4 linked regions of the Arabidopsis thaliana genome follow. The protein of the gene in region 3 interacts with the protein of the main gene of each other region in a pairwise test. Each region holds a gene or a part of one and is shown on either strand. Other genes may lie near its edges.

The links.
Region 1: the proteins of AT4G12950 (region 3) and AT2G41820 interact in a protein complementation assay, tested with the Arabidopsis thaliana proteins (one large-scale study listed by BioGRID).
Region 2: the proteins of AT4G12950 (region 3) and CLE3 interact in a protein complementation assay, tested with the Arabidopsis thaliana proteins (one large-scale study listed by BioGRID).
Region 4: the proteins of AT4G12950 (region 3) and AT2G29250 interact in a protein complementation assay, tested with the Arabidopsis thaliana proteins (one large-scale study listed by BioGRID).

The regions. Positions count from the first base shown.
Region 1 is NC_003071.7:17,444,902-17,450,674, reverse strand, and holds AT2G41820 (Leucine-rich repeat protein kinase family protein), read right to left. Parts: upstream 3,932-5,773; 5' UTR 3,506-3,931; coding exon 1,162-3,505; intron 1,090-1,161; coding exon 761-1,089; 3' UTR 567-760; downstream 1-566. Other genes in the region: AT2G41830 (Uncharacterized protein), read left to right, coding at 80-244. UniProt on the Arabidopsis thaliana protein: Leucine-rich repeat receptor-like protein kinase that may play a role in vascular tissues development.
Region 2 is NC_003070.9:1,904,060-1,906,838, reverse strand, and holds CLE3 (CLAVATA3/ESR-RELATED 3), read right to left. Parts: upstream 922-2,779; 5' UTR 865-921; coding exon 613-864; 3' UTR 541-612; downstream 1-540. Other genes in the region: MEE5 (Ribosomal protein S5/Elongation factor G/III/V family protein), read right to left, coding at 2,256-2,354, 2,668-2,779.
Region 3 is NC_003075.7:7,574,842-7,577,715, reverse strand, and holds AT4G12950 (Fasciclin-like arabinogalactan family protein), read right to left. Parts: upstream 1,075-2,874; coding exon 544-1,074; downstream 1-543.
Region 4 is NC_003071.7:12,578,396-12,582,578, forward strand, and holds AT2G29250 (Concanavalin A-like lectin protein kinase family protein), read right to left. Parts: upstream 2,386-4,183; coding exon 514-2,385; downstream 1-513. Other genes in the region: AT2G29260 (NAD(P)-binding Rossmann-fold superfamily protein), read left to right, coding at 4,128-4,183.

The sequences.
Region 1 (5,773 bases), on a different chromosome or scaffold from region 3:
TTCCTGTGGATAGCCTCCGGTTTCATATTCCAAGATAACTGTTTAACCATTTTTGTATTGATTACTGAAATTTGTTTAGGTCGAAGTCCCTTTACTGTCGAAAGAATTCGACATGAAATCGCCAAGAACACCAGTGGGAACTATTCAGTCACCGTGCTATGCAGAACTACAAAATAACCCACAAGCATTTAGACTACCAGCCTCAAGCCCTTACGACAACTTCCTTAAAGCTGCTGGCTGTTGATCATCGGCAGGATCCAAACCATGTTTGGCTTTGAATTCCAGTCAAGAACTCAAACAAAACATAACAAAAATAGGTTTGCTTGGTTTTCAAAGTCTTGGGTTACGTTTTTATAGATTCTTTAGCATCATAAATCGGAATTATCTCCGTCGTGCTATAATTAGATCATTCCTCCTAGGTTTTTACTCCTATCTTCTCTTTTCACTTATTCTTTTGTCCAATTCTTGTTTCTTTTTGGTGTGATGTGTAAAAAATTGAAAGAGGCCATCTGGTTTTCACATGGTATTGTAATCTTAAGATTCTACAACAGATGCTTTGTTGAACAGTTTCCCTCAAGATGTACATTGGTTCTTCTATGATCTAATTTATAATTTGTGTCATTGGATAAGTAAATCAACCATAAGCGGATCAATTTTATCATAAAAACCTATATAATACACAGAGGAGAAGCTCGCATATATAGGAATGCGTTTTCTTTTGTATATGAATGTCACAAGAGGAAACTATATATTCATTTGCTCATTTGATTTGCTTAACCTCTTGAAGCATTTCAACTACTTTCTTCATCTTTGGCCTTTTTGCAGGTGTGATGTCTGTGCAAAGCAATGCAACTTTCAGAGCTGCAAGCATCTCTCTCCTCCAAGCAAAAGACACGGTGCTAAGCTTGGCATCGAGTATCTGTTCCGGTGTTTCTCCTCTCGCTGAAGCTCCATGGACCCATTTCACCAAATCTACTCCTTCACCAAACTCTTCCTCCACCGGCGCTCTTGAGGTTAGAATCTCAAGCAACACAACTCCATAACTGTAAACATTCCCCGGAGCTGTAACTTGCATTGTGTATGCATACTCTGCAGAAATAAACCAAGGGAAAGTGTTGGATTTTGTATAAAGTTACTGGTAACAAAATTAAGACTTTATACCTGGTGGAATGTAGCCAAAAGAGCCTGCAACTGAGCTAATACTCGCGGTGCCTCTAGAGGGATCTAGAAGTTTCGATATTTCGATTTCCCCAAGCACGGCTTTGTAACCAGAGTCTAGCAAGACGTTGCTAGAGGAAACGTCGAGGTGAATGATGGCGACTTGGTGGAGAAATGCTAAACCTTCTGCTGCTCCAACAGCTATGGACAGTCTCATTGGCCAGTCAGGTTGGTACTCTGGTTTCTTGGTGGACTCATGAATCAGCTGAGTTAAGTTACCATTAGGTAAATGCTGATGCAACAAGAGAGCAACGTCTTCGTATATAACAAACCCTATCGGTCTAACCAAATGGTCATGGCAAAGTTTGCTGAGTCTTTCGAGTTCTCTGATCATCTTGTTCTGATGATGAGATATGGCTCTATCCATAGACTTGAGTTTCTTCACCGAAACAATCATCCCCGAAGGCATAACGGCTTTATAAACTGAACTGAAAGTTCCCGTACTGAGTTTATTTGACTCCTTCATAGTTGCTTTCACAACTGCATCAAGATCAATTCCTTGTTTAAGATTTTCAAGGAAGACATTTCCCGCGATAATTGCTGGTTGCTCATCCTCAACATTTTCTTCAACATCAACATTTTTAGCCGCTGCTTTCTCTTGTTTCTCCCTCATCATGAAGAGAAGAACAACCACAGTGACTGATACAAAGACAGCTACACCAGAACCAATCACTGCGAGCACAATTCTGTAGGAGACTCTGTGATTATATCTCAAATGGTCAAGATCTTCAGAATATCCACAAGAAGAGCTCAATGGTGCTCCACAAAGCTCTTTGTTTCCCAAAAAGCTCGAATTTGGAGACTTTTGAAAGGGAACAAAGACTGGCACTGGACCATTCAAAAGGTTGTTTGAGAAATTAACCTCGATCAAACTCATCATACCTTTTAGTAGTGGCGGTATGGATCCTGTGAGCAAATTGTTAGAGACATCCAATGACACGAGCTTGTCGAGTTTTCCTAACTCGGGAGGCAATGATCCATGAAGATGGTTGAAACTTAAGTTGAGTGCTATCTGCAAATTCCTCATGCGACCAATCTCAGGAGGAATGGTTCCCGTCAAGTAATTTCGACCCAGTTGGAGCTGAAGTAGCTTCACACAGTTTCCAATCTCATGAGGTATGTCTCCTCTTATGGAATTTTGATCAAGAAGTAAATACTGTAGCCTTGGCATGCTGCAGAGTTCCTTTGGGATGGTTCCGTTGAGTCTGTTGTTACTCAAATCAAGCTTGTTTAGGTTTCCACTTCCAAGAAACGACTTAGGGATCTCCCCAAAGAGACTATTACCTGAGAGAATCAGTTCTTGAAGATTAATGAGCTGACCAAGCTCTGTTGGAATGGTTCCAGCGAACCCATTAGCTGCCAGATTCAGCAGAGTGAGATTAGAACACTTGGAGAACTCTGCAACAATCTCACCTGAAAGATTGTTCTTGTCTGCTTCAAAGTAAGTAAGTCCACTAATGTTCCCGATTGTCCTCGGAATGACTCCCACAAGCTCGTTATTCCCAATTCTAATGCTCGAGAGGCCGCTGCAGATTCCTACTGCTTCAGGGAGTTCACCGGTCAATCTATTCTGTGTCAAGACCAAAACTTTAAGCTTCCCTTTCTCAAAAATCCCTTTTGGAATCTTCCCCTCAAGTTGGTTTGAGTGAAGATTCAACAATTCCAACTCAGAAACCAAACCTAACCCATTCGGTATCTCACCCACCAAATCATTCTCATAAGCTGTAAACACCCTGAGACTGCTCAGATTCCCTACCCAGTGAGGTATAGAACCATTTAACCCATTTCCAGAGACCTGAAACTCCTCTAACCTCTCTAGAACCTTAAGCTCATCAGGTATCTCTCCAACAAGCAAGTTATTAGAAATGTTGAATGCTCTAAGCCCTCTAAGCTTACCAAACTCAACCGGAATCGCTCCAACAAAACGATTCAGAGACAAATCAAGAAACTCAAGCTCAGACAAGTTGCCAAAAGAAGTAGGAATTCGTCCATTGAAGTTGTTACCAGAAAGATCTAGATGCTTTAAGCTTCTGAGGTCAGAGATTAGAGTAACATTACCTCTAAGCTGAAGCCCTGAGAGATCAAGCATTTCAACAAAAGAGTTGTTGACACCACACTTAAGCCCAACCCAAGTACAATAGTCAGTGCCATTACTACTCCATCCTGGAACTCCAAGCTCTCTATTAATCGCAACCAATGTGGCTTCATCGCTTAGTTGAGCTTCACAAAGCTCAGATTTTGATAAGAACCCAACAATCAGAAGAATTGACATACACCAAAATGTCATTTTTAAGAATTGAATCAATCACACACTCTTGTTCTTCTTCTTCTTTCCCCCAAATACAAAATTATCATTGAATTTTTAAGCCAAATGAAACAAGAAAGTGAGAGAGGAAAAGAAAAGTAATGCTCTTTTTGCCATGAATCCAGGATTAAAGCTCTGGTTTTTCAAGTCAAAATAACTGTTTCTGAAGAAAAAGAAGAAGAAAGACGAGTGCTTTAGAGTGTGAGTGTGGCTTAGAGAGAGAGCAAAGCCCATAAATTTAGGGAGAAAAAAACATGAGAGAACAAAGAGAAGAGAGCAAGGAAAATTCGATCAAAGAGTAGTAGGGTCTCTGCTTATAAGAGAGAAGAGGAAATTGCATTTTTTTTAGTATATCACGAAATTATGATTGCAGAACCAAACAAAGATCCTCTCACTTCACACACAGACAGAGAGAGAGAAGAGAGAGACTCCACAAAGCAAACGCACTTGGAAAGGAGGGAATTTTTTTTTTCTTTTCTTTTAATGTAATTAATTTCTGATACAAAAAAGTTTAATTTTCTTCACGAGACAGTGCAAGTGATGAATGAATGAAAGCTGCATAAATCTTTCTGACACATTTTTTCTGCTTTTGTTTTTTGGAAGAAAAAAAAAAGATTTTAATGAAAATGAAGAGTGTACGTTTTTTGATAATTCTTTTCCTCTGACGTTTTTTCTGTACCATACTGATTGATACTGTCACAATGTTCAATACCAAAGAGGTAAAAGATTGTTTCCAAATCTATCTTTTTTATTTTTTTACCTTCTTTTAAAATCAAAATTTACACACACTTTGCAGTTATCATTTGTGGTATAATGACATTTTTCTTATTCGTAGGGACTAGGTTATATTTGTAGCCTACATGTTTTCTCTTTGATCTATATTTGACAATAGGGAATCTACTCTCGTGTGGTGATTTTTGATGATTACTTTAAACACGATCCATGTTTGATGTATACCAAATTTTGACGACATTTATGTCAAGAATATAAGATTATAGAATCACACGAGGTGGAAGATTATTACTATTATTATTCGTCTGCGACGATAGTCAGGAAACACTGTGTGTTAATATCAATAGATATGATTGATTTCCGAGTTTCAAAATACACGTAAATTTTTGTTGTAAGATGCTCAATATAACAATACGTAAACAACGATTTGTCAAATCTTGAATGTTGGTAGAAGACATGTTTTCTCAGATGTCTGCCTCAAACAGCGAGATTAGTATCTTTTGATTTTGTGATAATTGTTATAAATAAAACATACCAACAATTTATTAAATAGCTATGTCTTAAGCTGCTTCCGATACTCCTACGCGACCCAAAACATTGAAAAGATGTCGGATAGATCATATATGAGTTGAGCTAAACTGTGTTCATATTCTCATTGGTGTGTACTTTAAGCTAGATGATGGTCGTAAACTCACATACAAATAATTGTTGTTTATATTACACCATTTTCCTCTTTCCTCTAACTATTACCTGATACAGATGACATAATTAAGTATAGTACTAAAAGGTAAAATACTGAAAACGAGTTTGATTTAATTTGCACAATTGTAAACTAGAAAGAAAGATTCAAAGTATGCAACAGTCAAGCAAATTCATACAATTATACTCAAATATCCGATAGTCATTAACATTCCAGAAAAAAATAAAAAATTAAGAACATGAGTTTGGGTTTCGAGAAATACTAGATATACTAGTTAGCTCTTAATTTATGTTTCTAAGAAATTGTTGGTAAATGTTTTAAAAAAAATATATCATAATGAAACAAAATCATAAACAAAGCTCCGTTTTATCAACATATTCCTTTATGCTGCAAAGAGTTTGTATATTTATGTTTATTTTTGAAAATATAGATTGAGAATAATAGAATGAGGAAGAGTGGGGTTCACTCACGGGATGGGGTAAAAGAAAAAGGAATGTGGCTCTTTACGGTTAGGCAAATTGTAGGACCCTTCTTTGTCTGCTCCGACCACCACCACTCACCACCTCCGTCCCATCGTTTTTTTCCTCTTCTTGAAACCTAATTGCCTAATTAAGTATATATAAATAACACCACCAATTAAGCAAGTTTTATTCTATTAATACTATAAAAAACTTTATTACATAGTTACATTTCTTTTCACGTGAGTTTTCACAACTCATGATACTATCAACAAGACGTTGAACTTCTTCTTGTTTTGGTAGTACAACTGAAGTTTTAGCTACAACAAAAAATAAATCCATGAATTGACGAAAGTACGA
Region 2 (2,779 bases), on a different chromosome or scaffold from region 3:
TCTAAAGCAAGATTTTTTGTCAAGTTTATTCATTATTTCTGACAAATATGTGATGCTGACAAGCAATTGAAAAAAAAAAATCTTGCTTCAGAAAATTTTGAATGCTTTTAGATTCACTATATTTCTGCTGGTGAAAAATTCCATTAAAGTTTCACTCATTTTTTGTTATAAAGGTAATGTTTTTCTTTTTTTAGTATATAGATTGATTATTTCAAATACAAACTAAGTGATGTTGATATATGTTATATAGTATATCTATGTAATTATTTGTTAGTTATAATTGTGAATTTTAGATATAAGAAATAAGCTAAATGGTGTTTTTTAATTAACTTGAATAGTATGAACTCATATTTAGTGAAAATGGGAATAGCTCTCAAAATAAGCATAACATGCTGCTTTTTTAAATAGAACATATTTGCTAAAGAAAGATGCATGCAGGAACTACATAAAAACGAGATCATGTAAACAGAAATGCTTCATTAGTGGAAAGACAGAAAATTAACTACAGCATAAGAATATTACATTATAAGTTAAAAAGTTGTAATATCATATTAAAACTCTCCCAAAAATGTTACATTACACATTTTTTTTTGCATTCTTCTATGGTCAGTGTCAGTGATGCCTCGGGTCAGGACCACCGGGACTAAGCCGCTTTGAGTCAAGAGTATTTCCAAGGATCGTCTCTTCGCCTTCTGATCTCCCCTTCATCTCTTTTAACCTCTCAAAAAGTTCACGTCTTATCTTTTTCAAACGACTTGAACCAGAAAATCTCTCTTCGGCAACCAATGGTCGACATTCGTGCACCGATGTCAATTCGAGTACTAGAAGCAGGACCAAACAAACCCATAACTTGAGACTTGCCATATATATGTAACTTCCTCTTAGTTCTTAAAGGTGAGATATATAGTCTTTGAAGATTTTAAGGGGGTGATCTCCATATATAAGCTCAATAGCTACGGTATTTATAGAGAAGCTAAAGTCCTAATTAACGTCCATCTATGCAGAAATTAAATACGTTAATTAAGTTGGAATCTAGTCATATCTACCTAGCTAGTCCCTTCTTATATATCTCTTAATATTTATTTTTGAAAGGTCGTCATCACTTGATTGCATTTGCCTCTATTTTTAGTGGGAACGTAGTAAGTGACGTAATGTATAATTTCTGTTAGTTAAAAATTGTAAAACGAATGGAAGAAAACAAAATTATGTCTATATTGAATGACATGCATAGCTAACTGATTTCACTTGAAATAGAAACTTAAAAGCTAATAATATTTAATTGGGAGATTATTTTTTAAAAAACTCACAATTCATATTCCATAAACTAAAACATAAATTAAAAGCAATTTGAGTATTGTAGTAATTCTACCGAACCCAAATGTATATAGGATATGTGGAAAATCATTATCGTCGTTTGGTTGATGGAGCCAAATGGATATAACCAATGAAGATAAGGCATGACGTTTTCAGAGTTGGCAATGCACATAAAATAAGGTGGAGGAGACCAATCTAAAACCTTAAACGATGTATATATTAATCCACCAGGGCCTTAACTATATATTTTGTAGCTTTATTCTATGTATAATAAGTATAAGTGGTTGCCGCCACGTCCACTTCGATTTGTAAAGAGCACGTCAACGTAAAAAGCTGATTATGGAAGCATGAAATAGACGAAAATAGTAAAGCACAACAAATCTTTGAGACAAGTAGTGACGTTTGACGAATTAACCGATTTTCATTGGAGTAAAATAAGTCGTCTGTGTGCACTAAATTAAATTATGAAGAAAAACTTACTTATATCTAGATAGGTTTGTGCCATTGACCTGGTTTATCTTTAAATTTAGCATTTTTGAAGAATCAAATCTTAGTTATGCAGAAAACTCTTTGCGGAAATAGGATCTGGATCGTACGTTCTCTGTATCATATGTATAATTACTAATCATATAGACAACAAACTATGAGATCATCTTATAAATGATAGTGTCATAACCTAGTTCAGTTTCCCATAATCCAATAGTAGTTTACAATTTTACAAAAATTTGTGAACATTTCCTGTCAACTATTTGCGAGTCATGTGTGAGTGTGACCATGTGGACTGTTGAGTTCATTAAAATCTCTCAACTTACAACGTAAATTTGACACATCAATTACAAAACTGATCCACATTTTCTTGTTCTCCTTTCACATATATAGAGAAGAGAAGATACTACTACTAGTCCTGAATCACGATTTATATGAAAAAAGTGCAGAGATCATCAAATCATCTGCAGATGGAGATCGCCTGTTTGCTGGGCAAGCTCTACCATCATCGCTTCATCAAAGAATTTATTTCCGCTGACGTCTTCGCTCATTCCCTGCATAACCAACAAATTATACATATCGTGAGAGTCTGAAACTGATGATCCAAACACCCAACGAGTCATACAATATAACTAGCCTAGGATGTATCCAGCAAATTATAGCTGGTGTTACTTGGTTAAAGAGTAATTAGCAAGGGCCGGGTTTGTAAACAGTAGTTTCGGGGATCCTTTGGTTTGTGAGGGTTTACTGGGGTCATTTAACCAAACACTAGAGTAACAAATCAGTTTATGGTTTCATTCGTATCTTTAACCGCATGAAACCCACTAAGTTTTGGGATGTGCATTGAAACAAAGGAAATCATAATACCTTTCTACGGCGGGTCTTGACCATGAATTCCCGAGCTAGATGCTGAATAGGAGCGGGCTCAAGTGGGCGCAACTGGATGGCTTTGTCTAGAGGGTCTCCTGGCACAATGGCC
Region 3 (2,874 bases):
TAAGATTTGTTGTATTTCAGCTGGTATTTTGTTTAGTGATTATAGAATGGTAAATGTTTTTTTTTGTAGAGATCTCTTCGTCTATTAATAATGACTCAAAATCTAGTTGACCATTCATGATTCATCTATTACTTTTTTTGAATATTACTTTTCATATATATATATATATATATATATGTTGATAACCTCTCATTGTCGTGGTAAATTTTGGAAAGATGTCTCAGTTATTTATATTGATAATGACTCAAATGATGAGAAGTATCTATCTCCGTGTGTTGTGTGTATAGAGAAGTCGGCATTTTAATGAGTAAAAAACAAGAGAGCATATATGTTCATCGTTAAACCTCTCAATGTATGCAGTCTACGTGTTTAAAAAACAAAAATAAAAAGTTGTACGTTACTAAAAATGACCAAGTCATGAGTACAAGAAAAAAAGGTTTAAGTGTTCATTTAAAAGACTTTCATATTATAGATTAGGGACTTCAGTCTTTTCATATATATATCATAAGGTGAAATGAGCACAATCTATTCATATCACTATGATTAAATGAACCACACAACCGTAACAAGCATAAAGGTGAAGAGCGGCCATTTCGATATAAGCTTAGAGCCGCCGCCGTAAGTTGTGTAATCAAGCGGATATGCAATACGATGGATGGCTATGAAGGAATCCACGTAGATGTCAAGTTCGATGATGAGAACGCCGTCGATAGAAAAAGAAGTAGCAGAATTGTTGGTTACCAGAATGGAGGAGCCGTTGAGAAGAGTCGGTAGTCTCGATCTACTTGGCTTCAAGAGAAGATCTGCAAACTCAAGCCTCTGAGGAACAATGTGGTATGAAGCCAACTTATGTCTATCATCGCTCCCGTTGGCGGAAGAGTTTGGGATGAAGAGGGTAGATGGGATAACCTCGGCGCGGATCCGGTCATTGGTTTCTATGAAAACCGATGACCATTCTTCAAAAGGGGCATGAGCCAATGCATCAATAACATCACGGGCCGTCTCCTCCACCGTGCCAGAGACAACGGCGAAAACTGAAACGGTGGAGAGAAGAAAAAATAGTAGGAGATTCATATCCAAGAGACCAAAAGTGAGAGAAAAGTCCAAGAATGGAAGAAAGGAGTTTTCTTTTGTTCTTGGGAGTTAGGAAATTGTGATATGGCTAGTTGTATCAAGTTAGTATTATATAATTAAAAGCAAAGAGAATTATGTGTAGGAACAAAAGGTGAGTGAAAGTGTGAAGAAAGACTGCACACAAATTTTGAGACCTCTTTAGAAGCTTGAACCGCACAAAAAAAAAGGATTGAGTTCAAATATTTCCTATATACCATAATAGCTTAATATTATGATTTTGATTTGATTAGATAGAGAACAATGTAGCTCAAATGATAATTGGTTATAGAATACATTTGGAACATTTTTAGTTTTTCTTAAGTATCATTGTATCAATGATATCATTAACAATAAAAAATAATCTTAACCAAGAGTAAATATAACATGATTGATATATAAAACACAATTATATATCATACTAGTCAAAGCATCCCATTTTCTTGAAAAAAGCAGGTACCGATGCCTTATGACAAAATTTGTTTCACTCAACTGCACAAAATATTTATTAAATAGAAATAATAATATTAAGAATCACCAAACGATTTAGCATTGGTTTAAAAGAACCTTTACCCTTAACCTTTTAATTAGAGATAAACTTAACTAGAAGAAACTTTACTTTAATAAAGTAGACTGTGACTGAAAAATATAATGAAAGCCAATTATGGGTTTTAAAAGAAATTGTTTTGCTTTAAAACACCTAAAACATATTACATAATTAACTATAACGATTTTAAAAACAAATATTAACCGAACTAAAAAACAAAGCAAAGTCTATACGTAATTATTTAGGATAATGATTGTTTATCCTGAGACTGCCTTGATTGGTGTATAGATTAACATGTAAAAGCTAAGTACGTAAACAGAGGATAGCGTGTACTAGAATGCTCTCCAAACCAAATAACATAATTAGGACATAATTAAACAGAACTAAGGTCTTAAACACCTTCTTGAATTGTTTCGGATACTCCTTTTGTTTTTGGATATTTCGGGTACACATTCGGTTACCTTTTCGTTCGTTTCGTTTAAAGATTCTATAATCCATTTTTTTCACGCTAGACCCGAACCGTCTAGTTTGACCCTGTGACCTGTACACACTTCCAGTTTGGGTTAACATCCAACAGTTTAAAAACTAGAAAAAAAAACACAAAAAATTCACCATTAACATGCTATCCACTGAATCAGTCGGGTTTGAGTTTTAACAAAATCCATTTGATTTTGATATTTTGGAATTAAATATTAGGAATGGTGAGAGAAACAACGGTGATTAGTTATATTGTTTTCGCAATGTTTTATTAGTTTTTTTGTTGATAATCTCATACTATCTAAGTATTTTTTTTATGGTTTTTGTTGGATTTAAAAATTTTAATCACTTTATTTTTATTGTGAAACTTCATATTTTGTTAAACATGGTATGATTATTTTTTATTTTTATATTTATAATACTATATAATTTCTAAAAGTATTAAAAATATTAAATAAATTTTAATCAATTGATCTATGGTCGAATCCGGTTGAACCCAATGACACAGTAACCTAAAAAGTTATCTGGTTCACCATTCGGGTTGGGTTTGAAAAAATTGGTTAAGATATTTTATAATTTTGGTTGGGATTCAGTTCGTTTTTTTATTTGTTCGGTTTAGTATTTTGGTTTCGGTTATCTCAGTATTTCTTTCTTGAATTATTCTGTTACGGCTAACACGACTTTCTAGTTAAAAGCTTATACTCTGTTTTTTTCAATAGGTTTTCTGCTCCTGTGCAGAA
Region 4 (4,183 bases), on a different chromosome or scaffold from region 3:
TTTCATGGTCATCTAGTGCATATACCCTTCTTTTAAATTAACCAGGTGAATCCAATCCAAAATCTAAACTAATCCCTTTAACAAAAAAAAAAAAAAATCTATACTGAACCCAAATTCCATAGAAATCTAGATTTTGTTGCTACTATAAAAATCTACTGGTGAACAAAGATAATTGAAATTACAATGAAAGGGCTAGAAAAGTCTGCCAACAATACTATTTATTTGCTTATCTTTTCTTTAACAATACATACTAGTTATCCTAAAACGACGAACAAACATCATTTAGAATTTAAAATCAAACACAAATATTTTAAAATATTCATTTTCTCGGAAGAGTACGAAGATTGTTTAATCGAAGATAATATTTAATGAAATTAATTTCTCAAAACGAGAAATTCTTATTTCCATTTTTAAAAGTTATTCTATGTATTATTCATATCATGCTTATGCATCTTGGGTCCAATCTTGATTTGTACAACGGCGTTTCGAGATCATCGTTAGCCATTTCCTCTTTTAGACGACGTAGTCATCATGAGGGAGATGTTCTGTACCGTTGAGATACTCCAACACTTTCTTCATCATTGGCCTATCTTCTGGAGATCGTCTCACGCAGAGAAGTCCTGTTTTCAGAACCAATAACACTTCTTCAGAGACTAAATTCTTTTTCTTGATTCTTTTGTCGCATCTCCTTAAGAGATTTCCGCTCTTGACCCCTCGAAGCACCCAGTTCACTAAACTGATCTCTACCGGTTCCTTTGTCGGCTCTATGGCTCTCCTTCCACAAACAATCTCCATGATTAACACTCCAAATTCAAACACATCTGTGGCACATGTAGCCTTTCCCGTGTTGACTAGTTCTGGTGCAACGTGTCCCGTAGTGCTGTGTCTGCTTCCATGTCCATAGTCTCCTAGTCGAGCGTTTAGCTCTCCGTCCAAAAGAACGTTACTTGCTTTGACATTTCCGTGTATGAGAGGTTTTTGAACCTCAGCGTGAAGATGTTGAAGTGCTGACGCAATACCCTTTATAATACAAAACCGGTGTACCCATTTGAGAACTGGTAGGTCGTTGCTGAACAAGAACCGGTCTAGGCTTCTATTGATAACATACTCGTAAACAAGATAGATCTCGTTTCCTTTGCTGCAGTAACCATGTAGATCAACAAGATTTCTTTGTTTTACCTTGGAGATTGCATCGATCTCGGCTATTAGGGCTGTCTTTTCTTGCCTTGTGTTGCAAGTAATTCTCTTTACGGCAATTATCTCTGTAGGAGCAAGTTGCCCTTTATAAAAACTCCCAGAGTTTCCCTCTCCCAAAAGCTTAGAGTTGTCAAAACCTCCCGTCGCGCTGGAAATCGTCTGGTGGGAGAATTTCCGTGCGCCTCCGGTGAAGTTTTCCGTTCTACGAAAAAAGCAAACCGCTAAGAAGCTTAAGATCAAGATTCCAAATATTGCTGATGCAGCAATGATTATGATCAGCATCGTGTTACTCGAATTTTTCATGACTGAAACCGGAGGACTCGGGGATGGAGACAATGGAGGTAGCGGGTCTGGAAGAGAGGGAAGCTTCGTGATATCAAAGTCTGATGCTTTCCCCTCGATGCTGAAGCTCCAGCCTAGCACAAAATGTGAGCTCGTGACAGTTCCCGTGGCTGCAGAGAATCCAACATAATTTTCTTCAGAGATGATCCCAGAAAGATTTAGTTTTCTAGAGAGAAGAGGCAACTTTGGCTTCGGACGATCTAGAGGAGCCAATGTGACATTGAGCATCGTCTCAGTTGCGTTGTATTCGATCCAGACTCTTATTGGTTTCCCACTCGCCAGCCTCAAACTTATGTTCTTTGCCTCTCGGTCATCAAAATATTCAGCGGAGGTAGACTCAATGGAGATCACTCCGTTGAGGTCTATACCAACATGGTTATCATCAATATCGTTCAACTCAACGGCCTGCACAGTGTCGAATTCAACTGCAAGAATGCAATTCAAGGAGTTTCCATTGTTGGAGGTATTGAATAGGCCTAGATAATTGCTTGGTAAGGCCCCGCTAAAGTCCAGCGAGGGTGAAATGACAAAAGCTAAGCCGTGGCCTGGTGCGCCAGGTCCTGGAGTGATGGCAAAGACGAAGCTTGTGGGGAAAGATACCAAATTTGAGGAGTTGGGGTTTAAGAATGGTATGGGAAAGCCATGAAAAGCTTGACCTATTTGCCTCATCGAAGTGTTTGTCAACTCCAAGTGGCCACTCGGGTGGATCTTGGACGAGCCAGACTTGAGGAGATTAGCTTCCAGAAAGCCATGGTTAAGAAATTTGGTTTGTTGTTGACTTGAGACACAAGAAAAGTATAGTAGGAAGATTATTGATACAGCTATCGATTTATAGGTATTAGCCATTGATAGTTTTCAGATTTTGATGTTAGCTATGTTCAATGCTATCTTTTTATAGCTTCAAAGAGCTCAAGACACATTCATATTCAAATTTTTTGTTTATGCTGACAAGTTAAACAAACTTAGTTGAAGATTTGACTTTCTATATAAACTGCTAAACAAACCCTTTTTTTTTTTGCAAACCTTTATATTAGTATCCTTGAAAAATTCTTTCGAACTTTCCTCCACAATTTCTTCCTAATAAAATTGATTGCAAAATAAACAAGAAAATGGTTACATATTTTCTGTATAATTTAAATGTGATTACAAAGTCATAATGGATCAAAAATTATTGAACAAAAAAAACGTCATCTTTTAGCTAGCCTTTAGGGTGAATCACCTTTTTTTTTGTTACACATATAATTTTGACTGCCTAACGATCGACGTTTATCCACTATGACTATGTGATACAAACAAATAGAAAGGTTTCTCTTGAGTCTTGTAATTGTGCAATTATTTGTATTAGGAAGAAATTGTGGAGGAAACTTGCAATAATTATCAACTATATGTCGCATAAAAGGCGTTGCTATGTTAGGCTTTTAGCCACTATATATCCAATATAAAAATAAAAAATGGATGAACAATTGAACATTCCTTGAAATTAAAGTGTTAACTTTAAATATGAATATTTATAATAAAAAAATATCCTAACTTTTTTTTATTATTATTATAAAGACATACGTTGTCAAACTAAGAAATTCAATTTGTAAACGAAGAAGAAGAATACTTGACCATTCAAATCTTAGTCTTGTTCTCACTGAAAACTTGTACAAAAATAAATAATTACAAAATCTAGAGAAGTTTTCATGCAAAATTGTATATGTAGATGTAGTCAGATAGAGTTCCATATATTCTATAAACGAAGAAATCACAACAATACAATGTACAAATTAACATCATTAGATTAGAGTCAAAGAATTTTTAAAAATATATCAACTTTCTGAGAAGAGTACAAAGATTGTTTACGAACGAAGAATTCTCAAAACATAAAATAATTAGTTTCCATTTTACAAAAATGATCTTAGGTAATCTGCTTATATTGGTTAAAGTATTTCTATTTTCTAACCAAAACTTAGGCAATTTATTTTGTCACCAACATACAATATTATATTAACAATCTATATATTACTAATCTATATGTTTTTTTCTTTTTGGTCTAAGGTAAACTTTGTGATTTAATTGTAGTATTGTACCTCTTCAATAGATACTCCGTACTCGCATGTATTAATAGAGCATCACATTTATCGACTTCTCTATGGTTAGTTTATGCATCTACTAAGTTTTTTATGGACTTTTGTTTTTGTTGTTCATTTATCGAAATAAAGCAAAAAACTGCAACGATCCAGTTAATCCGCAAAAATTAATGAATTAGAGTTTTTTTTTTTTCTCTTCTTCTTGTTGCATTTTCTCCTTTTTTTTTCTATTTTTTCTAATGATATTAACTAATATCTTCCCTACTAAAATATTGAAATGCTTTATTTTATTTTTTAAATAAAGAAATTGATTATGATTTTTTTTTTGTTACAGTTTATAAATGTGTCTAATAATTTATGGATATTTTATAAAGTTTATAAGATATATATACAGTAATTTAAAATTTGCCGCAATGATGACGTCGTCATCGTCACTAAACCAATCAGAACCATGCTTCGCATAAAGGTGACTCTGACTCATTTGAAAAGCTGAAACATAAACTCTGCTCTGCATAAATGGTGCTTGACATGGCTTCTCACTTGTACACAAATCCACCTCAAAACCTTCACTT